Lonchura striata: one gene and its partners. The protein of the gene in region 3 interacts with the protein of the main gene of each other region in a biochemical or structural test. Links are inferred from orthologs where the notes say so. Each region holds a gene or a part of one and is shown on either strand. Other genes may lie near its edges. The genes, in order: UBE2E3, SGK1, NEDD4L and NDFIP2.

The links.
Region 1: the proteins of NEDD4L (region 3) and UBE2E3 form a complex in vitro, tested with the Homo sapiens proteins (3 studies listed by BioGRID). The link is inferred for Lonchura striata from reciprocal best matches to the Homo sapiens genes NEDD4L and UBE2E3.
Region 2: of the proteins of NEDD4L (region 3) and SGK1, one has a biochemical effect on the other in vitro, tested with the Homo sapiens proteins (5 studies listed by BioGRID). The link is inferred for Lonchura striata from reciprocal best matches to the Homo sapiens genes NEDD4L and SGK1.
Region 4: of the proteins of NEDD4L (region 3) and NDFIP2, one has a biochemical effect on the other in vitro, tested with the Homo sapiens proteins (2 studies listed by BioGRID, with this or other methods). The link is inferred for Lonchura striata from reciprocal best matches to the Homo sapiens genes NEDD4L and NDFIP2.

The regions. Positions count from the first base shown.
Region 1 is NC_134610.1:23,812,953-23,820,185, reverse strand, and holds the start of UBE2E3 (ubiquitin-conjugating enzyme E2 E3), read right to left. Parts: upstream 3,015-7,233; 5' UTR 2,824-3,014; intron 2,445-2,823; exon of another isoform or gene 2,393-2,444; intron 1,573-2,392; 5' UTR 1,564-1,572; coding exon 1,370-1,563; intron 1-1,369. UniProt on the Homo sapiens protein: Accepts ubiquitin from the E1 complex and catalyzes its covalent attachment to other proteins. In vitro catalyzes 'Lys-11'- and 'Lys-48'-, as well as 'Lys-63'-linked polyubiquitination.
Region 2 is NC_134605.1:58,639,743-58,647,698, forward strand, and holds the start of SGK1 (serine/threonine-protein kinase Sgk1), read left to right. Parts: upstream 1-4,940; 5' UTR 4,941-5,440; coding exon 5,441-5,509; intron 5,510-7,956. UniProt on the Homo sapiens protein: Serine/threonine-protein kinase which is involved in the regulation of a wide variety of ion channels, membrane transporters, cellular enzymes, transcription factors, neuronal excitability, cell growth, proliferation, survival, migration and apoptosis.
Region 3 is NC_134642.1:459,424-467,307, reverse strand, and holds the start of NEDD4L (E3 ubiquitin-protein ligase NEDD4-like), read left to right. Parts: upstream 1-4,876; 5' UTR 4,877-5,175; coding exon 5,176-6,342; intron 6,343-7,884. UniProt on the Homo sapiens protein: E3 ubiquitin-protein ligase that mediates the polyubiquitination of lysine and cysteine residues on target proteins and is thereby implicated in the regulation of various signaling pathways including autophagy, innate immunity or DNA repair.
Region 4 is NC_134604.1:47,832,189-47,840,113, forward strand, and holds the start of NDFIP2 (NEDD4 family-interacting protein 2), read right to left. Parts: upstream 3,002-7,925; 5' UTR 2,870-3,001; coding exon 2,834-2,869; intron 1-2,833. UniProt on the Homo sapiens protein: Activates HECT domain-containing E3 ubiquitin-protein ligases, including ITCH, NEDD4, NEDD4L, SMURF2, WWP1 and WWP2, and consequently modulates the stability of their targets. As a result, may control many cellular processes.

The DNA of each region.
Region 1 (7,233 bases), on a different chromosome or scaffold from region 3:
ATTAAGACTTCTCATAAGAGCAATACTGTGAATTTCATGCAAATAGCAGGCCTTAAAAGGTGAGCTAACAGAAACTGCTCTGGATGTCCTTGCATTAACATCACTTGCATTAACATTAAATAAGTTCAGTAAGCCTACTGAATTATGTGAGATGCATGGAATTACACTTGCAACAATTAAATGAAATAAAGACAATATGGGAAAATTCAATGTCAAAACCCTGTATCTTAGGCTTGTCAAATAAAAGACAAGTAACAACAAATTACAAGTGCTGCACAGTAGTTGCAAAACTTTTTTCTCTTTAGCCAGTCCTATTTCAAAGGGTTTCTTTAACAAGCTCAAAAGTCATCAAAGGCATGCAGCCATTCTCTGCAACAATTTTAACATATTTCAAAAAGAATTTACTAAGTTTAAGTCCAATACAAAATTACTAAAGTGCTCATAAAAGTCAGAACTACAATAGTTACGCTGAATAAGCAAAATTTGAAGCTAACTACAGCTATTTTTCAACTTTTCTTGCTACTGGATACTTGTAAATGTTTTCAAAGAAAAGCAACTCCAAGGAAAGGACTGGAAAGTTATGTTTCATCTCCAAAGACAGCCGGAATTAAAGAATTTAAAGTTTGAGTATTTCACACAGCTGATCTTTGAGAAAATTACCAGAGTAATTCCTGAGAGCCCAGCTGCCAATAAACTTATATGCAAATGAAAGTGCAACCAATATAACTAAACGAGGTTTCTGAAGATTCTTATATTTAAAGGCAGAGGCTACCTGTAGAATGTCACAGGTTTAAATCCACAGCTCCTAAGGGAGAAAACTCACCTAAGTTTCTCCCAGGAGAATGGCAGAATGAACCCATTCCTTCAAGGTGTGTAAGGCTCTCCTGTGCATCATCATGAAAAGCTCTCATAAGGCCCAGAGAAGCCACTGGGGTTTTATGACTTCTTTAATTAGACAGCATTGCCTGTCATCAGTCTACCAACCATAATAAAATATTCCAGGAGGACTCCACCCTATACCAATCAGGCATGGAAACCTAACTCAGAAAAAAGCACCAAAGATCTCTCACACATTTTTGAAAATACAAAATGTACCTAGGTGCCCCCCTCCCAGTCACCCTGTAAGTCACCAAGTTCTGCACCAACTCTTCAAAAGACATAGCACTATTCTGTTTAACTGCTACCCCAACAAGACTTAGATTAATTAAAACACTGCTTAGCAGGCTCCTGTCAACTACCAAAGCTGATAGTACATTCCCTTCCACACAGCTTTACAAGAAGAATGCCTCTGCCCTGACAAGCGCAGTGCAAGTACTGTGACTCCAACTATGTGCAAAAATACTGCAGGACGTTTCACGCCCTCCTTTACCTTTTTGCACTAGTAGATAGTTTAGCAGTAGTTTTGCTGGATAGTTTGGTGTTCTTCTTCTGCTGAGTGGCAGAGGGCTTTCGTTCTTCTTGCTCTTCAGGTTCAGGTGCAGGCGGATCCCTCTGATCGGCATCTGAACTACCACTGCTGGTACTTGGACTTTCATCGTCTGACCTCTGCCTATCACTGGACATCGTGGGGAACTTTTTGGGGAAAGAAAAGAGACAGAATTAATACACAAGGAAGGACTCTCTCTTGTCATTCCCCAAGTTCCGCTGACCTCTGCCTACCATTGGACATCATGCAGAACTTTTTTTGGGAAGAAAAGAGGCAGAGTTCATACAACAGGCAGGACTCTCTCTTGGTATTCCCCAAGTCCCAGAAAACTTTGAATAGGTGACAAGTCAGTTTCAGTGAGAAATTAATCAAAATATACTTCTTTGTCTCATACACAAGGGCTGGAGTTTGACAGCTACAAAGCAATATTTACACTTCTGAAAATACAGATATTTCCAATTTTTAAACCCACTCACATTTTTTTTCATACTTTAAACAATATGCCAATTGTCGACTTTGTTTAAGGCATGAGACAGATTTAGCAGAGTACTTAGGCAATGAGCATTAATAACTTATGACACACTGTAAATAACAGACCTCACTGAAAATGTTTTTTAAAAAGTCACTAATAACCCGTAAATATTTACACTGGGACAGAGCATTTTATTGGGTCCAGATCCCCCACTCTTCCCCTCTCTCCGAGAAAATACACTGCCAGTTACACTTGGGTTGATTTCAGATGGAAATGTACACTTGCTCTGAGCATTTAAAGGGCTGGCACGCGGGGGAACGAGGTCTGGTTTTTTATCGGTGGTAGGGCTTTTTTTGGTAAGGGGAAAAGCCCCGCGACGCATTTAAAGCCACTGGGGTAGCAGCAGCCCCGGTTATTTACATGGCCAGCAGCGAGAACTGCATTTGGCCACCACAGAGCTGCCGGAGGGGGAAGAAGCATAATTCAAACTGCACCTTCTGCACGGCTCTCCCCGCAGCTCCGCCAGGCAGACCGACATTTTTCCGCCGATCGGGAAGGCGGGGGGGCGGGGGGGAGAAGGAGGGGGCTGCCCCGGCGGCCGGGGGGGCCCGAGGAGGAGCGGCGGGAGCTGCGGCAGGGCTGGATCCGGGCGGCCGCCCGGCCGCGCTTTGTGGGGAGCGCCAGCCCGCCTCGGCTCGCCTCGGCTCGGCGGGCGGCGGCGGCTCGCCCGGCCCCGCTCCGCACCGTGCGTGTGCACCAAGTGAGGCGTGAACTCGGGCCGGCCCCGCGTCCCCGGCCGCCGCCAGGCAGCGAGCGCCGAAAACAAGAACAAAGCTCCTCTACCAGCCCCCCCGCCTCCTCCCCGCCTCCCCCCACCGCGCTCGCCCAGCCGCCGCGGCGGCCGCCTCGCCCGCCGCTCCCTTACCTTCGCCGGCGTCCTGTCCCGATGCTGGGTCGGAGGGGCGGGATGGCGGGGGGCCGGGCCGGGCCCGCGGCGCCCGAGGAGGGGACGGAGGCGGCCGGGGGGCTCTACGGCGGCGGCGGCGGCTCTGTGGCCGGGCAGTGTGGAACATTGAGAGCCGGAGCAGGGGGGGACGGGGGGAGGCGCGGTGCGGCCCCGCGGCCGGCGGGTGGCGCTGGCGGGCCCCGCTCTGCGGCGCGGGCTCCCGCGGCGGGCCGGGAGGCCGGGGCGGGGGGCGGCGGGCGCGCGCGGCGGAGCGGAGGCGGGGAGGGGGCCCGGCCGCCCCCCGGGCTCTCCCCGCCCCGCCCGGGCTCCCCCGCCCGCCCGCGGCCGCCGGCGGAGCTCCCGGCGAGCGGGGGAGGGGAGAGGGGGCGCTCGCTCCCGTCTGCCGGCCGCCGGGGTGCGCGCAGGCGCGCTCCCGCCGCGGCCGGGGGCGCGCGTGCTCCGGGCCGGGCAAGGACAAAGCGGCGGCCCGGGAGCGGGGGGGGGATCGCCCCTCGATGGCCGCTCCGCCCGGCCGGGCGCCTCCCGCAGCCCTCAGCTGACCCGGTCCCGGGGGCTCCAGCCTCCGGCCCGCCGCGGGACTCGCCGGGCCGGTGCCCGGCAGAACGGCGATGCCCGGGGGTCGTGCGGTGTCCACGGCCCTCGGCCTCGCACCTCGCACGCCTCGGCTCGTGCCGCGCGCCCCGCGTCAGGCCAGGGACACGCGGGAATGGGACCCTCGACCCCAACACCCCCAACGCCTGCCTTCGGCTCTTGGAGCTGGAAAAACACCGGCCACCCTGCAGCCTCCCCACTCTGAATAGAAGTATTCACCATCACAACCAGGGCTGCTCTGCGAGCAACCAGCGCGCCAAATCACAAATGTTTTAAAGAGGAAAGGGGATAATTGACAACAATTGTGGTGTCACAGAAAGGTGCTATGGTACGGAGATGCAGCTTATTTTCTGGCCCGTCCCAAATGCACGGTGCCGGTGTGCGCTGAACAGCTTCTCACACTATCTGTCCATAGCAATCCACCAATTTAGGGAATGTAAATACTCCAGTTTTAGAGCCTGATCACGCTGGCGTTAAATTCCAGTTTCTTTAGAAAGATCTTATCTATCTGGGAAAAGTAGATGAGGTTGAGCTGGTGGATTACTGGCTTCTGCAGAGAAGAAATTAACAATTACTATAAATATTTGTGAAATGTACATGAAATCTCAAGGCTAACAGTTGCTGTCCAGCACAAGGGCTTTTGCCTAGATAGCTTTCATCATCAACAGCCTAATGACTTAAAACTGCTGTGTTTTCTTAGCTTGTGCAAGATCAAGGGCTCAAAGAGCATGTACCATGCTCTAGAGGGAATGAAGAATTGGTGCGTCAAGGAGTACCCTTCACTGGCGTTAGCTGAAGTTAGCTCATGCTGAAGATTTGGCAGGAAAGTTGAATAATACGATGTAGGGGAATACTGGAGGTTTGTTTCTTAAAGTAGGCTATAGAGAATTCCCAGCTCACCACTACAGGCAATTTGCCCCTGAGGTATGCTGTATAAAATTCCTAGCATAAACAGTATCTGGCATGATGAGCAATCTGGGCATAATTAGTAAAAGGAAAGCAAGGCAGTATCAAAAATCTATCAGTCAGCACTGAGAGCCTTTGCCCCTCCCCTCTTCCCATTCTGTTGATGATGCTCAAGATGAAGCTTGCTGGAACTTTGAAAGTCAGGATTAAGTCTTTAAAATTATTTCAGGTGAAAATTTGCAGTCATCCCAAAAAAAAGTAGTAGAAAAGTGTACATCTACAGAATGAAAGTAAGTAGATTGGCCAAGAGTTGCACACCACATCAGCTACATGTGTGGCTTTTGTGGCTTTCAGGATACAAAGTGAAAATTAAGAAAGCCCGTTTAATGGAGACTAATAGAAAAATTATTCTAGATTTTATTTTTTTTCCCAGCATTTTTTACTATTTTAAAATGAATTTACTACAGCAATGTGTGGACATAACAGATATTTATTTGATTGAATATTCATTAATTTGACGTCAGGTGTCAAAGGATGACACTTTGTTCTTATGAGGTTGTATTTTCCTTGGGCTCATTTGTTATTCACAGAAAGAAAATGTTTTCTTTCTGTGTTATCATCCACATAAAGAGGACTGCACTGAAAGGTGCAGTTTGAAGGAGAGGGAAAAATGCCAATTTTAGTAGTTATTGTTACAAATCTACACCTCTGTGATTTTTCATATCCCTCATAATTTGCCTTCAGTGTAATTTTAACTGATGTACAGAGTCATGAATGTGTTTTCTCTGTCAGTTTATTGTGTGCTCAAATTGTGGAAGTGCAGCTGGCATTGCAGAGCCTTCCCAAGGAACTCCTGGGCACTCAGGCTGAGGCCTACATTTTTTTCCCAGTTGCCTTTCTTGTTTGTGTTTTGTTACTTTTGTTTTCTTTGGGTTATTTTTTTAGAAGCCCTGTTTGCAAAGGTGGTAGATTGGTAGCTGGTTTTTTCAAAAGCCCAGTATCTTTTTGGGTCTGTCTTCCTCCCTGTTCTGTCAGAGCACAGATATGAAGTTTCTGTTAGCACACAGAGGTTGAACAGTTGCCTTGGACTGCACAGACTTCTGAATATATTTTTCTAGATTTAGGAGTTCACAGCTGGGTCTCCTCCATCTGACATGAAGTTCTTAGATAGCAAACAATGGGACCAAAACTAGGTGAAAAGCATTTGGATCTCCTGACCCAAATAATTTTAAGGGCGTACAGGTGGTAAAATAAAGCCAGCATACATTTTTCATGATTAAGAGCAGTTCAACTCAGTTCAACAGTTTACAGTTGTGTACTTCATCTTTTTTATTAAAAAGTCATAGTTTCCTGACAGTAAATTCATCATCTAGAAATGCATCTCTCTGTCCTAAGTGTATTCCCATTCCAGGTTGTGTTAAAGCCCCTGCTGGACCCCTACTACAGCACCCTACTGCAGTGCTACAGATAGATGTGGACAGGCTGGAGAACCAGGAAATGAACAATTTATTTTTTTTTTAAGTGGATGGGGTAAGATTTAGATTGTGTTTTTGTTTGTAGGTAATGTCACAGTAGAAACTAGTGCTCTTTGTAAGGTAGCTCTTTTTCAAATATTCAGTGTGTCTTGTCCCAAGACAATTGACAGTTTTAACAGAGAGTTCTAGGAAAGCAGACAATGCAAAAATCTTGGGCCAAGAAGGCATGTAGTGACTTACAGAAAGGAGTACAGGAAGCCTGCAGTAGCTGCAGCTCATCCTGTTGTGCCTTCACCATAACTCTGATTATTCTTACATTGTGATGCTGTGGATTCTTTGGGGTTTATGAAGGAAAAATAAGCCCCTAAAGAACAACGTCCCTACTTCATTTGTGTTCTCAAGAATTTACAAAAACAGTGGAGGTAAGTTTTTGAGAAATAAAGTCAATGTGGCAGTGGACAGGAACCAGCCATTAGAAAGCCACATCCTGGTCCCTTTGTCAGCTGGTATTCAGCCCATCTGTTAGTTTTGTGTTGCCACCATACAAAGTTTGGCATGGGAATATGGTGGAGGAAGGATTGGAAGAGGGCTGGGCGGAAGAGATGAAGGCAAGAGCCAGAACACTGCTGTGCTTCAATTGTTCTTGTTTGAAGGATGACTTTCTGGAGGCTGCTGTAGCTCAGCAATAATCCTGAGACTGCTCTAATGCAGCCTGTCATGAGGCCTGGAAGTTGGGATTCTTACAGGACTTTTCAGGATATCTTTCCTTCTCTGAATCCTTGCATGATTGAATAAATCAGGAAGAGAATTTTGCCAACTTCTTTTAACACAGGAGTTAGCTGTTTAGCTGGGATTTTTTTATTACATTGAATACTGCTAAATCCATAGAATGTATCTAAATCCATAGAAAAATACTTAGCATGCACTAAAGCACCACATATATTAATTAATCTTCATCATAATCCTAAGAAGTAAACCATAAGTCCTACTGTTCAGCATATGCTGTATTTGACAGTTGTATATTACACACTGGAAGGCTAAATGGTCAGTTGGCTACTGGTTTTTAATGGGCAGACTAGCATTAGGTACTTAAAAACATAACAGATAAATGCATGGTTTCAGAGCACAGAGTAACGTGGATATGTTTGTATTAGGGTGTTCCCATGGAGTTCTTGTGTTCTGTTTTGTAAATTCTTTCCTTGTATGTGGATTATTGATGCAAGTTAGAAACACAGTGGCCCCTTTGTAGTTCCTGTAGTCATTCATATGAATTCAGTGCAGTGCATGTCAAATGAATATCAGTGCTTTAAAAAAATCCATCCTTTACTTTTTGTTGAAAGCAGCTTGAATTTACCAGCATTTAATTGCTGTAGTTTTCATTTTACTTGGAAAGCTT
Region 2 (7,956 bases), on a different chromosome or scaffold from region 3:
CCTATAGGATGTAGATTGATGTTTTCTTCCTGTGGAATAGGCTTTATATCCCCATCTCTCTGTAGGCTAAAAATGGGAACTACATATAGCTGGACAGAAGGGGATTTCAGCTCCCCTATGAAATATGGAACAATTGCTTCCAGGCCTGGAAGGATTTCAGACCATCAGATATTGTGTATGAATAGAAAGTGTTGTAAGCCATTTTTAAGAAGTTTGAAATGCTGGGGAGGAGTTAGATTTCCTTTTCTATTCAACCAGCACAAGCTGTGAAAGACTGGCATAATCAACTGGGTCAGGTGAAGGAAGGACTGGAGTGCTCTGGCAGGGCCCAACTCAGGACCTCTGGCTGTGCCATATTTCTGGACAGGACTGTACAGAAGGATCTTCATCCTTCGTTTCTCCCAGCTGAGGAAACACCCCCACCCATTTTCTTCAGTCTTCCTTGAATACCATGAGTGTTATCTTACTGCAGAAAAGTACCATGACTTCCCTAGGATCCTAACCTTAGTTTTTCCCTAAAAAAAACTAGTACTAATTTTGAGCAATCTTCCAAAGTGCTTAAATGCTTTTCTTTCTTCCCAACAATTTTATTGATGTTAGTCTTTTATTGCTAGGCATTGTATCTCCAGCTTTAACTTCTGGTGTGTGAATGTGGAGGCTCTTTGTTGGGGTTGTTGCCATGTCACTCAGTGCCCCATTCCTCACAGTGACTGGGAGAGCATATGGAGCAAGCACAGAGGAAGAATGGTGGGAAAATTTGCCTGACAAGCTGCACCATGCACTCCATGAGGTCTTGAGCTGCATATGATCAGGGGCAGGGATGTCAAATACAAGTAGAAACTGGGGAACAAGTGATGCTTGTGAGCAATACAAGATGAAGAACACGTGAGAGCTGGCCTAAGAGCAGTGTCCACACAACAAGACCAAAGCTAGAGGAGCAACCACAGAAGTGTCAAGAGCTGCTCTAAGGCAGAGCTGAGATGAAAGCCATATGGACATTCAACTAGACATTTCTGGACATAGAAGATGTTCAAACACCCATTCTGCTCTCTTCAGTTGTTGTTCTTACTTTCTGAGCTGGTCCTGGTGTACTCTGATAAACGAGCTGTGCCTTTCTTTATCATTGCATACCAGAGTAAAATATCAGTCATGGGTGCTGGAAACTATCCACCTTTCCCTGCCCACAAAGGAAGTGAAGGAAGCAGCACTCACAGACTGAGCAGCTGTGTAAGAACCCATAACATTCTAGAGATGATTTGCCACATGTGGTTTTGGCCCCTGCCAGAGATGTAAGCAACTTTGAAAGCACAGCAAAGGGAACTGCAAAAAAAGGGCTGTGATACTAAAAACTGTGACTTCATACTGAGCATTCTTCTCAGTCAGTGGGAGAAAAAGATTTAGTCTGTTAAGGTCGTAGCTAATTAAACTTGTCAATGTAATCTACTTGTTCTATGATAAACCCTGGATTGATTTACCACCTGTTATCTGTGACATTGCACTTGTAAGCATTTAAAAGCAAGGCAAATTATTGGTATCTGTGTTCATAAGAGGCACAACAAGAGAATGAGAATTCTGGCCCAGGCTTAGTGCCCCTTGCATACTACGTCAGTCAAAAGTTATGTTATTTCTTCAAGAAGATCTTCAAGAAAAACACCTTCATGCTCTCCCTGCAGGGCTGTCTCACAGGAATTCAAATGCTACCATGTGTTTTGCAGCTCTCTGAAATTCTGTAGCTATGATACATGTGTATTTCTCTCCTGACTGCCCTAATGAAAAACTTATTTTATCATTGCGGAGTATATGACAATTTAATGGGAACCGCTAAAGGGTGTTAAAGCATGCAGTACCTGTAGGACTTGTTTAAAGTGTTTGGTATATCTGGCAGTCCACCAGGCTGATGAAAGCCCTTGATGTTTTGTGACAATCACAATAAAGCACAGCTGAGTGTGTTGTCCTGGCTGAAATTCTTATTTTCCTACTCAATTTTTATGCCTTTTTACTGAAGTTAAATGCAGTGAACATGGATTTTTATGCTCATTTAAGGTTTAATTATGAAGCCATGCTTTTGGCATCATAAAAAAAAGTGAAACATTTTTTCTAGTAAAAATATCTCTGGCTTTAAATATTTGGCTTCTGGTGTAAAAACAAATATGTGGTGTTCCCTTTTTCCTCCTATTTTATATTTTTGATCTCCAATGCTAGATATAAGCTCTGCAGGCACTGAGTTGCACTCTGATTGATACTGTATTAAAAAAAAAAAAAAAATGTTTGGAAATAAACTCCTTGGAGGCCACAGAGTCAATGAGATTCCAGCTGAGAAGAATTCCAGTCAAAATATAGATATCCTGAGGAGGCCAAGGAGAGCTCTGTGTGATTCAGGGATAGTGTCCTAGGCCATTCCCCTTGCAGCAATGCACCTGCATCAAAAAATAACTCCTACAGTACTTTAAAACTATCACTATCAGGCTACTTAAAAAGCAGCTGGAGTTTTTTCTCTCTAATGGAAATTAACTTAAGGGCATAGTTTGTTCAGCTGAAAAGAGGCAAGCACCCAAACAAAGTAAACAGCCAAAAAGGTCTGGGGCCAAGGCCCTTGCACCAGGACTCATGAGATATCTTCGCAGCAGCAGTCTCCACCCCCAGCAGCCTACAGGGTGCTGGGTTTAGGAGGCTTGAAGGAGAATGGTGTTTCAATCAGCAGGCTGGAAATCTTATGGAGAAGGTAGAGACAACACAAATGCTTTTGTGAAAGAGAAGGCAGTGCCTGCAGGAGAAATATCTGAGGCTGAGAGACAGATCAAAGCTGTGGCTGAATAGATCAAAGATCTCAAAAATAAATGTACGTGCATAGCAAGCTGCCTGGTTTGCCCGAGAGAAAGTCATTCTTTTGACAATCATTTTCTTGCATTTCAGACTAGCCAACGAAGCATGTGGTGCTCAGAATAGTGAGAGACACCACCAGTAGAAATTGGGCACTCGCCATTGTCTACAGCTCTATCTGTAAGCAGCAGAATATAGCTCTGACAGCTCTAAAGCACAGCAAAAGATTATGAGAGATCAATAAGACTGAGGGATTGGCTGCAAGGTGGAGGAGGGTGGTGCTCACTTCAGGGAAGACTTGCTGATGCATATTGAGAATTCCGTATTTTCTAAAAACCTCCCCAATGTCCCTCTAGCTGGGCACTCTGAATTTCTGATCAGTTTTTAAGGGCCGGGCTGAATTGCTCCTTGGCAAAATCCATTAGCCCCAGACAGAGCAGCAGAGTGGAAAATTCCCTCTGTCCTTGCTTCAGTGACAATTAGTTATATAAAGTGAAACAATTCTGATGAGATATTGGCTTTTAATCTCCTTGCTTCAGACAGTCCTGTAAGAACATCCAAAATCAAGATTATGTCTTTTGTGCTGCTTGGACATTGAACTGTAGCTTCCCAATGAGTGTTCTCATTTGTGACCTGGGATCAGGCTGTACCTTCCCCTCATAATTTTGACCAGAATTTTTAACCTGAGCTCAAGAAATATTTCTCAGAGTATTATCGTGACTACTGAAATTAAATACAAAGAGGAAAGACAGGAAAAGGATGGGAAAGGATGGGAAAAGAAAAGGGAAAAAATGGCGAAATAGGTATGAGGAAAAGAGGTTTTGAATGAATGTTGTGGTACTACATCCTTAAGAAATTTGAAGTCTAGGATGAGTGCAGCCAAATTGTTTATAAACAGTGATGGAGAGCTAAAGGTACAAAGTTGGGAAATACATGTTGTTGACTTGTAAAAAAGGTCATAGCCTACAATCTGCTCAGCCTGGAGTCTCCAGTGAGTTGCGCAGGTCCAAAGACCTGTGGGATTCTCTATGTTCATAGTTTTACCTCTCTACATGCAATAAGGGGAACCTTGCACTTGAATAGGATATACAGCTCTTATTATCAAAGGATCTTCAAAAGAGGGGATAAAAGGGGCAAAGAAGAGTGACACAATATCTTCAAAGACTACTTAAAATTACTTCCACTGAAAAATGTGAAATGCTCAGTTTATTTACCTAAACATAGAGATGATTTAAATTAGACAAGTATCCTCATATCCTCATATATATATATATATAAAATACTTTATATTACAGGGCTGACCAATCTTGGAAGTTTTGGCTCGAGCGAGAAGCCAGATCAGTATTAGAAATTAGAAATTAGGTCCTTTCTTGAAACTGAGGTTTATTAACCTGGAACATAGGCTGATAGGAGGTCATGAAAACCCTATTTTATTTTCCAAACCTTTCTGGAAAATGTAACTTAATTAAGGTAGACTTTACAGTTCAGTTAAACACATATTATTGGATTCACTGGACTTGGTGACATTTAACTCAATTGAATTTAATAAAAAGGAAGTTTAAAAAGGTGCCTTTTCAAGATTCTTTCAGTCCTATTTCTAATGAAAAACCCTTTGGGTTTCAAAGATATATATCTATGTTTCTATGGAAATATCTGGACAAATGTGTCTGTGTCTGCTTGGGTCACATTTATCTGCACCACATATAAGAAATGTACTTTATAGGAACTGTGGGTTTCCTTTAAACTCATTGAACTATCTACAGCATGTCCTGTCACATAACCCAGTATGACATTGATCATTGGATGGGCTTTTTTCCAAAGTAACACTGTTTAAATCAGAACATAAGAAAAACATTTTTTTTAATTGACCTGTGTTTCTTTTCTTCTTACTCAAAGACTGTTCACCTATAAAATGACAGCTACCTCTGTCACTATCCCAGGGGAAAGATATTGCCTTTCAGCACTTCTTTCCCTGAGCCTTCCTACTACCCTTTGTATGGTTGTGTTTGGCTGCTCTGCCTGTGCATCTCTCCCTCGCTCTCTCTCTCCTTCCCCCCCCCCTTCCCTTCCCTTCCCTTCCCTCCCTCCCTCCCTCCCTGTCTCCCTCCCTCTCTCTCTCTCTGCTATTACTGAACTGCAGCTCCCACTGAAATTTGCACAATCAAAACCAGCTCTCATCTCAAACAGCAGTGAATTGCACCACCTGAAGAAGGAAAATAGCAAATTAAGCACGGTATCCTCTATGCTTATACAGCATGTGGTACCAGTAAATCTCACAGGATGGATGGACCCGGGTTTATGTGAGACCCACTTAGCCTGAGGTCTGCTGCCTCTGATCTGAGAGCTGTCACAGGATTTTACAGGAGGATATGTATTTAGGGGATGGTTTTAAGAAGCTAATAGAGAGCTGCATGTGAGAGCTGCTGCTGCCACTGTGCTGCTGCTGCAGTAGCTGGTGCAGCAGGATGAATGTGTAAAGGACAGCTGCCTGAGCCATGCCGGTGAGTCTCCTGCCCTGCTCTGTCTTCATTAGCTGAAAGAATACAGAGGAAAACAGATGCACTAACAAGTGCCACACTGGCACACTGGATCTATCACTGTGTACCCTTCACTGTGGAAAATGGTCAACAAAGACATGAATGGATTTCCAGTCAAGAAGTGCTCAGCCTTTCAGTTTTTTAAAAAGAGGGTAAGATTTTCCAGATTTTCCTTTAATTCTTTTTTTCTTTTTTCTTTTCTTTTATTATTGCTGTGTTTCTTACTCAGCCAGAGTAGAGAGAAAGTCATTGAAGAATGAAAGTGCTTTATGTTGGTCTTCTACTTTATGGAGCCCATGGCATGGGCAGTTCTACTGAACACCAAGGGTAATAGCAGTGTAGGTGAAGAGGAGCAGGGCAGGGGGACAAGGCTGGGGGCTCCAAAGGCATTACATCAGCACTCTTTGCTGTGGAATGTGTATCTCTGTCACGGCTGACCCCAGGGCTTGACGCAATACAGGCAGCTATTCTGGCTGGGATAATGCACTCCAAAGCAGAGTGCAGGGATGTTGCAGCTTGCCTCTGACTCGCTGCTCCACATCCACCTAGGGTTATGACTCCCTCCACACCTTCCATTTACTTTCCTGAAGTGTAGCATTACCCTCATCCATTCATCATCTCACAAAGTAGGGGGAAAAAGAGAACAAAGAAGCATTTGTAAGCTCAGGAAAATACTTCACAGTTTCTAATTTGACTGTAATCATAATTCATGCAGGAGAAAAGAGTAAGACTGAGCTACACCTGGATTTGATTTTCTTTTATATTCTTTAACATAGATACATCAGGATTCAGAAAATATTTGCTATGCATTTTATTCTGTTTTTCTCCAAGAAATGCAGGTGTAACTCTATCTCGTCGCTTTAGCTAAGTCCTTTCTGTTTCTTTGACTCTTTTCTAGTGACAATACTGCACACTCTTTATTTACTTGAGAAGCAGTCATTTCCATGTGGCATCAGGACAGGTATTCTGAATAAATCTGGGTAGACCCAGACAGCAGAAGCAAAGCATCAGAAAGAGATTGTTAGCAGGGACTACACTGTGGAAAGGATTTCCTGAGTGATTAAAACGACAACCCTCTCTTTAAACAGACTGGAGTAGGAGCAGATAAGCTGCTCCATTCACTCATTAGTTCATTCATTCATTCATCCTCATTCATTCACTCTCCCTCCATTATGCCAAGAATATGGTCAGTTCTTTTAACCCTTCAGGCAAAAATAATGAAGCCTACACCAGTAACTAATTTGTAAGCTGGGGTCAAACCCTTTCAGGCACCAAGATGCCACATTTAAGGGCAGATATAGAAAATACTAGCTGGGTCACTCAGAGGAAAAAAATGCAGTGTTAGCCAACAATTGTTGTTTCCAAGGCAGTTTGTAGAAGCCTCAGACTGATAACTCAAACAGCACATAAATTCAGCCCCTAAAAATGGTTGTCATCCCAACATGCTTCTCATTTAAGTACATTACTATTGGCACATGTTTACCTGATACTCAGCTTACCAGCAAGGTTATCTGTTGTTTTTTTTTTAACTGCTTGAAGATTTTAATATAATTGTATTATTAAAGAGGAAAGTAACTGTCTTGCAATTCCTGTATAAGGTTCCTGTATTGTCAACTGTCTTCTATCTTTTTAGAGTCACTGAGAAGTTATCACTGGAAACCTCTACCTAATTTTGTTCTATAAGAAGGGAAAATTGTGATTTCTGGGTTTTTTCAGACCTACACTGGTAATCCATGAATTTACAGTTGAAAGAGATTGTTAATTGTAGTCATAATTGAGGAAACTGTCATACTGATACAGTCCTGGACAGTGGAACAGGACAAATAGCTGCCTTTGGTTTCTGAATGTTTTCATTTTAACAGATGCTGCCTTTTTGCTATTGTGATGAAGATAGATGAAATCAGTAAAACCAATTTAGAGACACAAAGAAGGGAATTCTCTCCCTATACTTTTCTGTTAATAGATATATGTGTTCATTGATGTTTCTCTTACCCCTCTTACCTTCCTTGCAGAAAATCCCCATTGTCCAATGCCAGTGTTTGAAACACACACAAACAAAAATAGCTATATGCTCATAATGTGTTGCTGGCTCCCAGAAATATATCTTGCATTTGCTGGACTGGTGATGTGTCACATGTTAACTACTGTGAGAACAAGGAGAGATGGTTCAAGAGTTTATTTGGTCTCCTGCCAGTGATCTGGACACTCTGGCTGAACCACCAGAATCCTGGTGTATAGAAGCACATTTGTGAGCTTTCTTGGTCTGAGTGTAGTGTGTGGTAGAGCTGTTTGACAGTTTGCATCCCCACAGCACCAGTGCACCATAACCAGCAACCCAGGGGATGCATCCTCCATCCAGAGTGGGAGGCAGGAATTGCACTGCAGAGCCTGGCACTCCTGGCTGCTCGGTGAGGTTACTGCTATCCCTCTTTACTGAAAGATGCCTGACACACAGAGAAGGTCATTTGTTATCTGGGTACTGAGCAGGCTTGTCCAGATCACCAGCAGGGTCTATGATGAAACAAGGGCTGGGGCTTCAATCTCTCCAGTTTGAAATCACTGCGTCTATCTCCTCAAAAGCACATATTTCTAGTAGAGG
Region 3 (7,884 bases):
CAAAATCATTGGGCGTATTGTCCAATTGTTTTATACTTACTCAAGCTTGAATTGCCCAAATTACTGTTTGTACTTCTCATCTCTTTTGTGTCAATTAATTATGTCATGTTTGAGCTCACTTCAGCTGGCAATATGTATGGACGTTTATTCTGTGCATTTTAGTCAGGTTGTTAAAATTAAAATCCTTGGGCTGGGAGAACATTGGAAGAGTATCTTACCTGTTCCCAGGAATAACCTTTTCTTTTGGTTTTACTTTTGGTTTTTTTTTGGGTTGGTTTTATTTTTTTTTTTAATTTTTCTGTTTATTTCACAGTATAAATCTGAGAATATTCTTGGAGCCCCAAAGTTGCTTTTGTGATTAAAAAATACTTTTTTTCTCATCTGGGTTTAAATGAATCTTGAGAATGAAATGTTCTTCAGATTTTATTTCTATAGGTTCTCAATGATTTGTCTTTTAATCATCAAATTCTATTTATATTTAATGTCTATTTTAGGGTCATCTGACTCACATATCCTCTCACATTTGGTTTACTCAATAGAGAATCTCTAGATGGCAATGTATTTTTCAATTTCTTTTATTACATGCTTTTCTTTCTCTTTTATTTCCCTAGAAAACTGTCACTTGCATGTATGTTGTTATAATTGCACACCAGAAAACATTTACATTAGATGTAAATATAGTTACTTTTTTACAGACGCTGAACCCTAAATGGAATGAAGAGTTTTACTTCAGAGTAAGTTTCTCTTTATTTGTGGTCATTATTAGAACATGTACAGCTAATGTTATTTTCTATTTGTATGTTTACTCCAGAGACCTGCTTGCCCTGATGTACTTGCTGTTGTGTTTCTGAGGGGATGGAATGCTCAGCAGGAATTGGCTTGCAGGTTCCTTAGAAACTGTTTCCCAACCTGCAATTATATAATTGTGAAGGGCAGTCACTTTGCTACTCGGTTGCATACAACGTTCTTCCAAGGAATAGTTGACTTGTGACCTGTAGTGCAGCTGTAGCTGTACAAAAGCGGGTCAGGTAGGATTGCAGGGGTTTCAAACATTACCCTCGAGCAGTGCCTGAGGGCTGGTGTGGCAGATGGGAGCTCTGGGACAGCAGTGCCACCAGTGGAATGTTCCATGCACAGGCCTCACTGCCGTGGGGAGTGCTTACTGGGACACCTGCACCAAACAGCTTTTCTGGGGTTTGCAGCTGAGATCTAGAGTCTTAGGAAAAGGGAGTGCACAACCCTGCTGCAAAACCTCTGGTGTAGTTCACAAATGCTCTGTTAAAACATCTTGAGTGTCCTCAGCAATAACGGGACCTGTAAAGTAATTTAGACACTATTTTGTGTGTCACAGTTCTCTGATTTTCTCAAAACTGGGAAGTCCATCTCCAGCCCACAGAATTGTTGTATACTATTTCTAAATTTTCTTAATTCAATATGCTGGTCGTAGTAACCCAGCTTGTAAAGCTTCTCTGAAAAAATATATCAACTGGATCAAATGCTATAAAACTTGCTTAATAGCAGCTGTTTTGTCTTTCTGACAGAGTTCTTTTTATGTTTGATTTTGACCTTTTAAATGTTGGCAGTCTTTCTGCTTCAGTTTAAGTAAATAATTTTCTGGAGGTATATTTGCTGTTCAGGTGTTGGGGAGATTTCTGCTGGTTGTTCCAAGGATGTGAGTAATAAATGGGCTAGAGATGATGAGCAGTGGACAGTCAGAAACATATCTGAAGGTGAAATTCTGAAGGAAATGCAGCAAAATTCTTGCTCCTCATAAATCAGTCAGGGAGCCTTGATATTCTGTCCAGCCTGGGACTAGGGTCCTCTGCCATGGGAATGCAGGTAAAAGCTTTCATGTCAACTGCCATGCTCTTCCCAGTTGCAGTAAGGTTCTGGTGCTCCAGTTCAAGTAAAGATTTACATCAGACCTGTTAGTCCTGTCCTGTTTGCCTTGATTGCTGCCTGAGCTAGTACCCAGGTTGTTATTGTCCAGCTACTGAACTTGCAGTGACATTTGGATTTTCTCACAGGTAAACCCAACTAACCATCGGCTGCTGTTCGAGGTGTTTGATGAAAACAGACTGGTGAGTGCTTGTCTTGGTTATGTTCTGCTAATCACGAGGCTCCGTGTGCCCCAGCTGATAGAAATACAACACAGCTCAAAGGTGTCTTCGGACGGTTGTTTCAGTGAGCGTGCCAAGAAACACAAATAGAGGTGTAAAAACCATTTGAGTCTGGGACTGAAAGGGCACTAAAGTAGTGCCTTTCTGAGTCGGACCAAGATGGTCCTCCTCACCCTCACTCTGGCCTTCTCAGGCCTCTCCACTTCAAACCAATAAAGTCCTGACCTTTTCAGTTGCTGATAAAGGAACTGCTTTATCATTTTAGTGTCCCTTTCCAGTCCTTTAGTGCTTCTGCATCTTGCCTGGGGAGGTGGTTACCAGAGCTGCATCTTATGCGCACAGTGCATGCGTGAAGGTTTAAGGTCATGGCAGAATGGTGGGTTTCATCTCTGCCTCACAACGCTCACATGTTGTTAGTGGTTTCGTCTTTCCCTGCCTTTGGCTGATGCAGTAGCTTTTCAGGAGGAGGCTTTCACCATTGACTGCTGCTAGCTTCTGGAATAGTTTTATCCGTGGGAAAAGTGTCAGTATCCCTCTGTACATCTGGGGTTAAACGTGCCAGTGCGGTGGCACACTGGTGGATGGCTCTTGGGGGTTTGCCTTTTGAACATTGTAACACCAGCTCTGTTCATGAGATCAGGAATTCACATTTTCTGGGGTGGAGAAACTTGTTTGCTTGCTGAAGATAAAAAAAGACTGTAAAAGCATCTGTCTTCAACAAATAGGTTCTTTCCTTCTATCTTCCTCATAAATAAAGAGCAAAGGAAACCACAGAAGCTGTAATCTGGGGAGAAAAAGGACTTGGCAGCTGAATGACTGGATCTTTTCTCAGGAGGAAGTAAATTGGTGAACCGGTGGCACTGTGCCTCTACAGTGGCTGACCAGGAGCATATTTATTTTGTATATAATGGTTATAATGCCCACTTGCACTATTAAAACTGCCATGCGCCATTGGAATGCGAAGGTGCCACAGGAACAGGGAGGTCGGGTTAGAGAAAAAGCTTCTATGCATTGACAGCTGGGAAATTACAGGTTTGGGATACTTATTTCAGACATACTGCTTTGGATTTTCGAGTTTGGGTGTGCAATACCGGCCGTACTGTGGCAGTTTCAGCACTTTTTATTGTTGAAGTAGTTTGTGTGTATTCTCCTTCTGTTCTGCCTCCAAACTCAGTCTGTCCTTGGCCTTGGAACTTCCTGGCCAAAGCAGCACCTGGGGTTAGGAAGCATGGCTTTCCTTGCAGAAGGTCTGTGGCAAGCTGACTGCTTCGGGGGGTTTGGAATAGCAAGTTTCTATCAGGTTGTGTTTATAGAGTGAGGAGACGCTGAGCTGATACTTTTGGCTTTACTCTCACATACTTATTGTCAATATTTAAATGGCTTTTGTTGGAAGGACTTTGTTTCTTCTTGTTCCCAAATTACCAAAGCACACTCTGTCTTAGCAGGTGTCTTTGCCTTTCTCTTCCCCAGTCTCAACAGAGTAAATGTGATGCAGCCTCCTTTTGGATGCAGAGACCGTGTTATTGAGTAACATGTTTTAGCTGAAAAAAAAGATAAAATAATACCAACACCTGTGCTTCTATGATGCAATCTCCAGGACCATTGCTGTGTGGAAGCTGTTCACATTTTTGTTGCGTTTCATAACCCACATAAAAAATTGTGGGATTGTGCTGGTTGCTGGCAGTTTGATCAATTTGAGCTGCCGTTGCTCTTGGGATTGGTAGTTTTGTGGCTTTTGAAAGCAAGCTGCTTGTAAGCAGAGTTCAGATGTCTCAGCAGAGGACTGACCCGCCACATACAGGTTTTCAGAGCTTTTGACAAGATTTAGGCTTTCTAGTTCTCGCAGGGAGCAGCTGTCCAGGCCCTGAGATGGAGCTGCCTTCTGGTTAACCAGAGTTTTTCTGGTATGTGCTAAGAAGTGCGAGTGCCCTCAGGGCACTGAGTATCTTTGTTGTAGCAGAGCTGATTTAAGGTGGTTGGTGCACGTTCTAGTGTATCCTGTCTGCCTGTCCTTCTCCTGAGCTCTTCTGGCTCTCGGAGTGTAACTGTACTCTGTGCTGGCAGTGCCACGCGTGGTGGCATTGCTGACTCCCTCGCTGGAGGCCAGCCAGGAGCAGGCAGTTCTGTGCAGGGGCTGGGACAAATCAGTGCAAACAGACATGCAACACCCAGCTCTGCTTTTCCCTCACCTGTACTGCCTGGCAGATCTGGAAAAGGAGCTTTCTGACTTGCTGTCCTGCACATTTCTACTGGTTTTACTGTGTGAGAGATCTTTGCCATACGTATGATTGCTTTGTTGGTAATTTGTAGTTGCTCAAAGGGAACTGCAGGTTATATTGCTGCTGGGGCTTTTTAAAGTCAAAAGTTTGTTGCTTAATTTTGTTATGAGCACGGTTAAAATTTTAAGTGTAACCATGTTGTATTTATTCCTGTTCTGCCATGACAGCTCAGAGCTGTAACACACTAAAATGTTGTGCTTGAAAGAATTTTCCTCATTTGCATGTGGTGTTGATTTAAGCTTTTAACACAAAATGGAAGCATTTTGTTGTAGTTAGAGTTTTCTGCAAGTGCTTTCTCCCAAGTGTGCCCTGTGAATCTGATGTGGTTTAGATTTATAGCAGTGCCGAGTGTATTCGCTGCCTCAGTCAGCTGCGAGAGCTCTCCCTCTGGGGCCGCTCCTCCCTGATGGAAAAGGAGCAGCTGGGAAGGTGCTGTTTCAGGCTCTTGCTGGCATTAAAAAAAAAAAAAAAAAAAAAAAGGAAAAAACAAACTCCTCACACACTTACATTGGAGAGGGGGAACCAGGCCACGTGACTCCCACCATCCTACCCTATGTCACCGTGTGTGTAGGAGCGCTGACTGCTCCTGCCCAATCATGCCTGGAATGCTGCTTGCCACTTGGGCTATTTCTGCTATCTGTCGCTCCCAGGGCTGCAGTGCTAACCGATTGGCAGATGGGACACTTTTTCCTGGAGTTTATGTCTTTGGTTTTTAACTTCTGGCAGTGCCTGAATTGTTGCCGTTCTCCCTCTCCTTTTCTCCTCTCTGTAAAATCATGGCCCATCGGCTGCGGTTTCATTTTGGCTCTGGGAGAAGCAACACAGCCCCCGAATCGGAGAACCTTGCCCGGGAGAGAGAAGATGACTTTTTCATGGCATTCCACACCTTGCCAAGAAGAAGCAGCCCTCACGCGTTCTCGCGGCATGGACCGGATTACGGCGGCGACGGAGATTTGCACGAAGTGGGCTCCTTGAAAAGGAGCACATCCATGTTTATCCCGCAGCTGCTGAACGGCATCGACGCGCGCCCCACCAGGAGCTCGTCCATGCAGATCTCGCTCCAGCGCAAAGCTGCCGACGGCTGCGCCGACGAGTGCGCGGCCCCGGAGCCTCCGGAGGAGACGCTGCCCTGGAAAGTCTCAGACTTCAGGGAGCCGTATGCATCCCCTGTTGAAAAGCGCTCTTCTCCGAGCGCTCTGCAGGTGACTCCTGAAGGTTCTTCACCCGGGCTGACGGAAGAGTTGGGGCAGCAGACAGATGGAACTGTTTGCTGTAACCGTAGAATGTTCTGTAGTACTAATTCTCAGAGCGAGGAGGCTCTGCTGACTGCCCAACGACAAGAAGCGAGTGAAGCGGCTTCAGGTGTAAACATAAGCGGTGTGAGGATTCAGCATCGCGCCTCAAGTGCGGAGGTTCCTCAAGTTACTCTACTTCCCTTTGGTCCTGACGCTCCAAATAGCGCTCCCACCTCTGAGCCCCGGCGCTGGTCCTTGCAGCATGTGCCAGATCTGTCAGCAAATTCAGGGAAAAAGTTCTTTGTTCTCCAGTTACAGCAGCCACAGACAAGCAGTACGGGCGCAGAAGGTGGCAGTAACTTTGGCTTTACCGGAACAAAAGGGGACAGGTTGGTCAGGTACCCTCGGATACGGCTGGAAAGGAGTACTTCCTACCCTGTCCAGCCACCAGCAGAAGGAATTAGCCCCACAGGTGATGGGCTGAATTCGGAGCTGCCTGGAGACAGCAGGAACAGGGCAGGAATACCTCGAAGTGATTCAGTAGAGCGGATGCCTCAAGGGCAGGGATGCTTGTTTAAAATCAGACCAGATCAAAACATGAGGCAGCAGCACTTCAGAATTCTTGTCACGCGTGGGCCGGAAGAACAAAGTCAGGCTGTTGGTAAGGAGGGTCGTGGCACCCCTGGTCCTACGGCAGCCGGCACCGCAGTAAGTATGATGGGCGTGCTGTGCTGTGCTGGTAAAACACGGATTGCCTTACAAAGGCTGCCACACTGGAGCCAACTGCAGCACTTCCATTGTTAGCACTGGAATGTTCTGCGTTTCTTTGGAGCAGGCCACAAATTGTCTTTATTTCTAATCTAATGTAACTTCGCTCTTCGTTATGATTACATCCAGTGTAATATTTTCAGCTCTTACTGTCACGTGTTTCTTAATTCACATTAATTCCAGCTGTTACGTCAGCTGGAAAGATTTTTTAAAATCAGAGCATTCAAATAGCAAATTAAATGTTTCTGTTAGTTTAGTTGGCTGAGGCCTTGCTGCGTAGAGAACTCTTTGTGCACTCTGGTTTTAAAAACAAATACTTTGTCACTTTCTAAGTGTAATGGACACACGTGGACCTCTGCACACTTCTAAAATGTGTATTGTAATGAAATAGTTGCTAAGACTGTGGGAATCTTAGAGTAAGTTTAATCAAAGTACTGGCTTAGTTAAGGTACCAAGAAGTCTGGGGAAAAATAATATTTATTAGTAATTTCTTATACTAATCTTAGAGTAATTTTTCTTTCTTCCTTCTGGAAGTGAAAAACATGTCATGCCTTTTGTATGCTGCAAGTCCTGATCCAAGTCCAAGTGCAAGTGGTTTGACACAACTCAGTAAACAGTCTGTTTGGATTTGCCTTGATTTGGTGTTAGGATGGCAAAATTAATCTTCTGGGTTTGCTTTGTTACAGCAGGCGAGGATTGATGGCTGATGTTTTTCAGCCGCTTTTCCAAAGCCTAAAGTAGGAGCAAACTGAAGGGTTTAGATTAGTCATTTGCTTAAATTGCTTTGCTGTGCAATCCAACACGGCCCACTCAAGTTCCCAGCTCAGGGATGCTCTATTTAGCATTGCGAGCTCTGGCTCCAGCTGTGGCACGGTTGCTGAGGAGATTTCAGGCTCCATGGCTCCTGTGCTCCCAGGCTCTGAAATGCAGCACAGGGACAGCTGCTCCCTGCAGCAAGGCCAGGAGTGACTCTGCAGCTTTCCCATGGAAAAGCTTATGGACTCGGTGTTTTTCCAACCTTCTTTGGAGCTCTTGAAAGCGTGAAATAGAAAGAAATCCCTCCCTGGTACAGGTTTGGTTCCAGGACATGTAAAGGAGCAGAAAAAAAGTATGTCTTATTTTCCCTTTCCTCTTTGTTATCCCTTGCTCCATTCCAAGATCTGTTGTTCATGGAGACCCACTGCAGCCAGTTCCCTAAGTAGCTGTGGGGTGTCAGACCTAGCACAGAGGCAGCAGAGGTTTGCAGAGATGTGCCCTGGGTCTGTGCAACAGTTCTCATTTTCCTAAAGGATCTCCTCTCAAAGTCCCTGTTTTCATCCCCCCTGTAGTAACAATTCCCACCCCAAAGACTTGCTTCAGTAGTCCCAGAGGAGAACGAGGAAATCTGTTCCTCTGTGCTCTTGGTTTGAGTTACCGTGTTGAATGGATTGAGGCAGCTGTGCAGCATGGCAGGCACAGAGGTGCCCAGCCCACATGGCACTG
Region 4 (7,925 bases), on a different chromosome or scaffold from region 3:
GACTAAGGAAAAGAAAAAAGGAAGTAAAGCAAGACAACAAAGGTTGGCTACTTTACTTCTAATGTCATACTCCTGCAGGGAAGCATGACAAATTCTTATCCATCAATTATTTGTCTTTTTGCCCTACGAAGAGAGACAAAACAGGAGGGCCAGAAAGCAATACAAATCACACATGCCCGCGGCAGAGAGTTACGTAATGCTGACGTACTGCCTGCTCTTTGCGCACAACTTACTTTGCTGCAATTCCAAGTACCAGCTTCTAACAGCTGCCCGATTTGTACACTTTTAAACTGCTTTGTAAATAAAATGTAGACACACAAAGAACAAGATACAGAATGAAGCTTTAGAGCTATTTCCAACAGAGATAAAAATAAGTAAAGCAGAGGGCTAGCTTTATGATGAGACATTTTCTGTTTCATAAGAAGTCATAGAACTGGCTTTTTGTGCTAAAACTCAAAACTAAATTGCCTGCCCAACTAAAGTCTTTTAATTTAACTTACTTGAAGACAGCACAAATAAAAAGAGAAAGATAGCTCCTTCAACTTCACTGAAGTTCTACTGCCAGGAAACACAAGTCAGTAATTCTTTTGATAATAATATACACATAAAAATCTCTCTATTTAGAAGAGAGTTTGCCCTGAATGGAGTCAAAGAGATTAGCTAGAAGTAGAGGCAGAATGGGTACAAGCTGGGCCAAAAAGTATTATTAAACATGGGAGAAAAAAAAAGAAAACAAAACAAAAAAAAATACATCAAACACAACAGAACTGGCCAGATTTCATAAAACTAAATTCATAAAACAGTAATAAAATATGGTATTAACCATATTAAGTCATTTTTTCCCCCTACATTTTGTCTTTAAAAACTAGGACAAAACCATAAAATCTGTGGTAATCTACTGCTCAGTACCTATCACAGCCATTATGTAAGCAAATACATCACAACACTTAAGATCACATGCTTGAATAATCAGCTGCTAATTAAGTATATCTGCAATTGCCTTGTTCCTTCCTTTCTCTGACCCAAAACAGTAAGTAAACAACATGACAAAAATCTCAGTCTTCAGCAGTCAGATATAACAAAAAACTAAAACAATATGCTCCTTCCCATGGGGCAGTAATCAGTAAGGCTGTATTTTAAACTCTGGAGCACAGCAGACTGATTTATAACAAATGACTACACAATTTAATGTACACAGCAAACTGAGGAGGCCAACTCATACAGACAAACATTAAGCTAAGCCCTTTTGGAAGGCCACACCAAATAGTGCTTACTCAAAGCTGGGCATCAGCACCATCACTGGAAGTTCCTAATAAACATAGGATAAAAATATTACAGAGACAAATTATTTCTTCATGTGGTTTTTTTTACTCCTTTGAGTAACTAAATTAAAGTTTCCCTTCTACCTGTCTGACCTCTAATAACATATGCTTTCAAAGCCTTTTAAAACATGCCCAAGTTACCTCAGGCCTTGAGGAAGATAGTGTTTGTAGGCTCTCAAGAAAATGCTCTGCCAGCATTTTTCTTCTCTGTTGCAGAGAAGAAGGAATGACTTCAGGACTTCTACTGAGTTCAAGTTATGGAAGCATGGTGCCACAAAAAAAGCAGCTGGTGACCATCTACCAACCTAAAGGAATACATCACAGGGTGTGTCACAGGATTGTCACCTCTATGACAATCCCTGTATCTAAGTGCCCAAAACTATACAGAAATTTACAGTGCTGTAAGATTATCAAAATAAATATTCCAAATATAATAAAATTGTTTCCTGTTATTTTTCTTAAATCATAACCTAGGAACAATCTGAATATAAATAGTACTATTTATATATGCACAGATGTGTGATTACTTCTGTGGACATTCTTTTCACTGCTCAAGCTGTAAAACACAAATATTAAGATAAATAATTCAGGATTTAGCTAGAAGATTACAGTAGAAATTTGAATCATAGAGAGTAATAAGATTTCAGACTTCCTTATCTTTACATTCAGAGCAAGGCTATAAAGTACAACGGGTTTAAGGAAAAAATTTAAACTTTTGAGGAGACTGACTGCACCTAAGTAATTTTTACATCCAGTAATGATGAAAGCTTACATATTTTGAGTAAAACTGACCTTAAGGTAATGACTGCAAGACTTATGTAATTGACATTAAACTGCGAGAAACAAACAGCACAATCAATTCGGGCAGAATGAAAACCTTCGATTTCCAAATTATTACTTCCGTGGTAAGGTTCGGGAACAAAAGAAAAATTGGTCTCAGTGACTCACAAAGCTGCGGACCGTTCCTGAGAATAGCCTGTTCCTGCATGTGCATACACACAGACACACACACTGAAGGTCAGTTTCCTCCCTGCATTTCACACTTCCCTCCCTCGCTCTAATCTTCACACAGGCCTTGCACTCTGTCCCTGTGCCAGACAGCTCCGGGCTTTCAGAAACCACAAGGATGCAGAGGTTGGCTCGCAGCACGCACCTAGCAGAGACAAGGACCCCTGCCCCTTCCTCCGCCGGCGGCCCCGCTCTCCCGGGAGCCGCACCCGCTCCGGCAGGGGGAGCGCCCGGGAAAGCCCGCCGAGCCCGGGCCGCGGGAGAGGAGGCGGGCGAAGGCGGCTCCCGAGCAGGCCGGGCAGCGCCCCCTCCGCGGCAAGGCCCGGCTGTCAGAGCCCCTCCGTGGGACGGGCCCGGTGCCGGTCCTGGTCCCTGCCAGACCCCCGCGCGTCGGAGCCGAGAAGCGGGGGGAGGGAAGGGCGCCCCGGTCGCACCGTGCCCGCCGCGCCGGCCCCAGGGGCGGGGGCAGGCGAGCGGGGCCTCGCCGGGGACGCGGCGCTCACCACTTGGTAGCGGCTGACGGGCTGGTGGTGATCCATCCTGGCCACCCGCCGACACGCACGGGCGCGGCCGCAGCTCCTCCGACCCGGCGCCGCGTCGCCCGCTCCGTCCTTCCCTTCTTCCTTCCTTTCTTCCCCCGCCCGCTCGCCCGGCGCCGCCGCCGCCCGGCCCCGCCCCGCCCCGCCCCGCCGCGGCCGCCCCCCGCCCGCCCCCGCGGCGGCGGAGCGCCCGGGCCCCGCCCCGCCCGCGGCCGCGCTCGCTCCGCCCGGGCCCCGCCCCGCCCGGGCCCCGCCCCGCCCGCGGCCGCGCTCGGCCCGGGGAGCTCCTGCCGCGGTTGCCCAGAGCCGGGCTTCTCCGACATTCCCCGCTGTTCGCTCGGCAGCAGCGTTCTCTAAGGCTGTTATGGCCCAAGCCCAGGCCTTGCCTGGGTATTTATCGCTATTGATCACCTCGGGGCAAGAAGTACAATATAGCACAGAAGACATACTGCGGACCCGGAGAGCGATTTTGAATAGGCATCTACGTAAAGTTATTAAGAATCCTGAGTCCGTTTGTTTACTGTTCCTGTGAAGGCAGAACACCGTTCTGTGGCAAGGAAATGTGATTTTCTTCTTCTCTCTTCCTAAAACTAAATATTCAGATGCTTATGACTTCCTGGAGTAAAATCAGTCAAAAACGCCTGCACCCATAAAAGTCTATGGGATGAAGCTGACTCATTTGTAGGTTCCCAAACTGCCAGATGTAGCTGTGGCACGCAACAACTTCACATAGCCGTAGATCCATCTCTTGGCTGCAGTGGGGAGGAGTGTCAGCGTGTGCTGCTCTATAGCTGATCTGCAAGGCAAATGCTCTCACAAAACCGGCTAGCCGCTATCGCTAATGGCCGGCACGCAGAACTTTATCCTGCAGCTCAGGTCATCACCTTTGCGTAGCTGCTTGCTGACCTGAGCAGCAGGGTGAGTGTTTTTGTGCGGGCAGTCATCCCTGGCGAGCTGGGTGAGGACCTGCGGGAGCGGGGGGAAGAGCCAGTACGGGAGCGTGGCAGGGCAGAGGAGCGGAGCGAGCTCCATTATTGGAGTTGTGCTCCTAGCTGGGGGTGGGAGTGAAGATAGGCAGGATTATAGGGGAGGAGGAGGTGGAAGCGTGAGACGTTGTGTGTGTGCCTGCAACCGTGCTTGCAGCCCATACCTGGCTAATGCAGCAGTTACTAAAGCTATCCAAATGAAAAGAAAAATATGTTTGGAAAGTTCAGGCCTTTTCTGTTTGTTGCATTTGTTTTGTTTCTTGCACAACTGTGTTGCACATCAAAAGCACCAGCAGTTAGGAAACAAAGCTGGTTAGAAATGGATGAGTTTCTATAGGTTAGAAATTGAATAATATTATCTTCCTAACAGGATTTTTCTCCTTTTTCTTCATTATACATAATAAATGTTTAATTATTCTGTTCTTAAAGGAACAGTTATTAGTAAAGATCATCTTGATTTTAAGAAAGTTTGTACAGAGTGTTGCAGTGTGTTTCCATTACCAAAACCTCTTAATTATATTTCCAGATCTCACGAAACATAGAAATTGAACCAATTTTGTAATCAGTTTAACATTTTCTGTATCGTTAGCAACAATTTTCTCCAAAGTAAACTTTTTCTGAAGCGTTGCATGTGACATCTCAGCTCAGGAAGTTGTCATCTGATCTCCATGGCTTTTTAAGTGTTGTGTCTCAGCTCTGCGATGCACTGTCCTAGAAACCCCAACTAGTTAAAAGCTGCCAAATGGAATTTGACACTGCAAATGTCGGAATACAATTGAGTAAGCATTTATTAAGATGTAACCTTCAGTTTTGAACTCATGCAATTCATGTCTTTTAGAAGACATGAAGGGAAGAAAGGACAATAGGCAAGGACCAAAGAGTATTTAATAGGAAAATTGGCAAATATTCCATAGTGCTTGGGAAATGAGTCAGTGGAGGCAGGAGCAGATTCAATAGAGTTAATACACTTGTGTGTGGAGAGGGAGTTTCATATGTAGGGACAAATTTTGGATGGATGGTCTAGCTTATATACAGAGACTAAACTTTTTTTTACTTCAAGAATATAAGTGTAGTTATTGGACTTATAACAAAACAGGTCATGTGACTCATTTAGGCTTTAAATATGCCTTCTTTTGATTCTTATTCTTTCTAGAACATCAAAATATAAAAAAAGCATGCATTTCTTTCAGATCTGTGTATTTTCAAAATAGTGTTATCTGTATATTTTAATTTAACTGTCGGATTCCAGAGGTTTTGACCATGGCATAATATTAATCTATAATGCAAAGCAATTAGCAAGCACTAAGGTTCCTTAAAATCACAGAACCACAGAATGGTAGAGGTTGGAAGGGACCTCTGGAGGCTATCTGCTCAAGCAGGAATACCTGGAGCAGGCTGCCCAGGACCGGGGGTGTTTTGAATATCACTGAGAATGGAGTCTCCACAAGTCCATGGGGCAACTTAAGTCAGTGCTTAGTCACTCTCACAGTAAAAAAAAAAAAAAAAAAAAAAAAATCCTGAAGTTCACAGGGAGCCTCCAGTGTTTCTGTGTGGGCCCATTGTCCTGGTTTTGTTACAGAGCACTGCTGAGGAGAGCCTGGCTCCATCTGCTAAGCACTTCCCTTCAGGTATTTATATGCATTGATGGGGTCCCCTCTGAGGCATTTCTGCTCCAGGCTGAAGGGCTCCAGGTCTCAAAGACTTGCTTCACAGGAAAGATGCTCCAGTCCCTTCATCACCCTGGTGGCTCTTTGCTGGACTCTCTCCCATAAGCCCATATTTCTTCTGTGATCTCTTGTGCAGAATATATACTGAATCCAGGAAATGTGTCTCTCAGAAGTGCTAGGATTTTATTACTTAGATGAAAAATCATGTGGACTGTCCTGTAGACTAAAACCCTTGAATACTAGTCTTAAGATTTACTTTTTTATTTTGACCTTCTTAAACCTTAATAGGCCTGCAATAACAGTATTGGGTTAGGACTATATTTTGTATCCTTAAGAATATTTGTTTTCTGTCAAAGAATTGTATTTAAAGAAACAGAAATAGTACTCTAAATAGCATGTAATCAAAATAGTTTCAAATTTACATTTAAAAGGAAGTATTGCTTCAGACTTTTTTTTTTTTTTTTTTTTTTTTTTTTTTTTTTTTAGGAAAAAAGAAATCTAATTGCTGTTAGTCAGCAAGCTTACAACAGTTTAAACTTTGTTCCACCATGAAAATGAGCCAAGAAAAGATTCTGCTTGGTAACAAGCTTTTGCTTTTGCAAGCCCAGTTCTGTGAAAAGTTGTCTTGAAAGATGGCATCTGAATTCTGACAAGTCTGAACTTAATTGCACAAAGGCAAGGACTGTTAGCTATTTTAATCTGGTTTTCATTCATTATTCAACCACTGGCCACCAAATAAGAAAGCACAGTATTTATCTTTACATTTCTTCACCTGTATAAACCTATTCAAATTTTTAAGGTTTCTTGTGGAACTTACAGAGTAGGTAGATTTCAAAAGTATGTTAATTTTATCTTAATAAAGACATATAAACCAAATACTTATATTGGTTAAAATAAAAATATTTATATTACATTTATAGTATATAATTTTGTATTATTTTAAGTAAATATAGCAGTTACTATAGTATTTTACTTACTGTACCATACAAACAATTTAAAAAATTAAAAATAAAAGCCTACATACCTATCCAAAACCTGGAAAACAAAGTAAACTTTTTTAAACTCTGTTTTACACCTTTAGCATGTGGTTTTAAATCTCTAATACAGGTCATGTCAGTGAGAAATAAATACTTTGTTCCCAAATGTAAATCTAATTAAATTTATGTACTTAATTTACTCATGGACCAGTCCTGTGGTCTGTGAATTTATTGATTGTATTTATTTTCCTCTGTATTTTCAAACTCCTTTTATAAGCTATTTGGTTTTAATTCTATATTCCTGCACAAATTTGTGATCTCTCTATGGGCTTAGATAGCTACTTTAAGCAGGAAGTTAGCTTAAACAAACCACTGGGACTGAATTTCTTAGAAAGAAACAGCAGGACTTTGGCTTGTTTTTCTTCGTTTTTTCTTCTTTTTTTTTAGGCAACATAGGCAATGCCAAAGCCATCATTAGCAGTAACAATGGGCTACTTTTAAGATTTTTTAAGATTTTGTGGCCCAAAGTAGATTTTCAATTGCATTGTCATCATCTGTGTTCAGTGTGTATATACATTTGTACAGTCCTGTAAACCTAGCCTTTGGATATGTCTAGATATCATGCAGATGTGTCTGAACCAGGTTTAGAAGTCATTACTGCAACACAGAGGTCAGGCTGGGAAATAGCTCAAATATTTGCCTTGGTCTAGGACAGATTTTGCAGCCTGCATGGATCTCTTTACTGCTGGAGCTATTTCCTGCTAGTCACAGAGACAGTTCTGAAGTAGCTCAGATATATTCTGACAAACTCCTCACAGCTGGGCATTGCACATCTGTACTTTGTCTAAGCCGGTAGCATGGTTAGATCCCTACCTCTCTTGTCTCCCTTAGAGCCTGTATTAATTACCTTTGCTGACTACAAGCACAGTTAAAGCAGGACACCACAGAAGTGAAGGAACACCATCTTTTAAGAAGGCCTCAGACAACTTCAGGGAGACAATGCTCACACTGGCAGCAGTACAGCTTCTTCAGTACAGCTCAATGGATTTGCAAGGGGAAAGAAAAAGCATAATGAGCTGCCTCTGCAAGATGATTGCTTAGCCAGTTCTATGCAGTAAGCTATTAGTCTAGAGAAAATGGTACAGAGTCCATAAATAAAGGCTGAAGCAGTGTGTGCTTGTCTCTCAGAATAGATTCTTCTTAAAAAATGTATTTCCATATAATGTGACACATTGAGAATGAAGAATGAGTGTAAAAACTGCTGGTGTTTCACACCAGTGACAGAGGAGGGTCTAACGATGAGAAAAAAAGGACCTACAAAGTCACACCTTTTTGGAGAGGCCCATGTATGTGAGAGAAGTCAGTTTAAAGCAGGAGAATCACAGGAATAGACACGAGTGTGTGCCAGATTGAAGTTGTTCTCTTT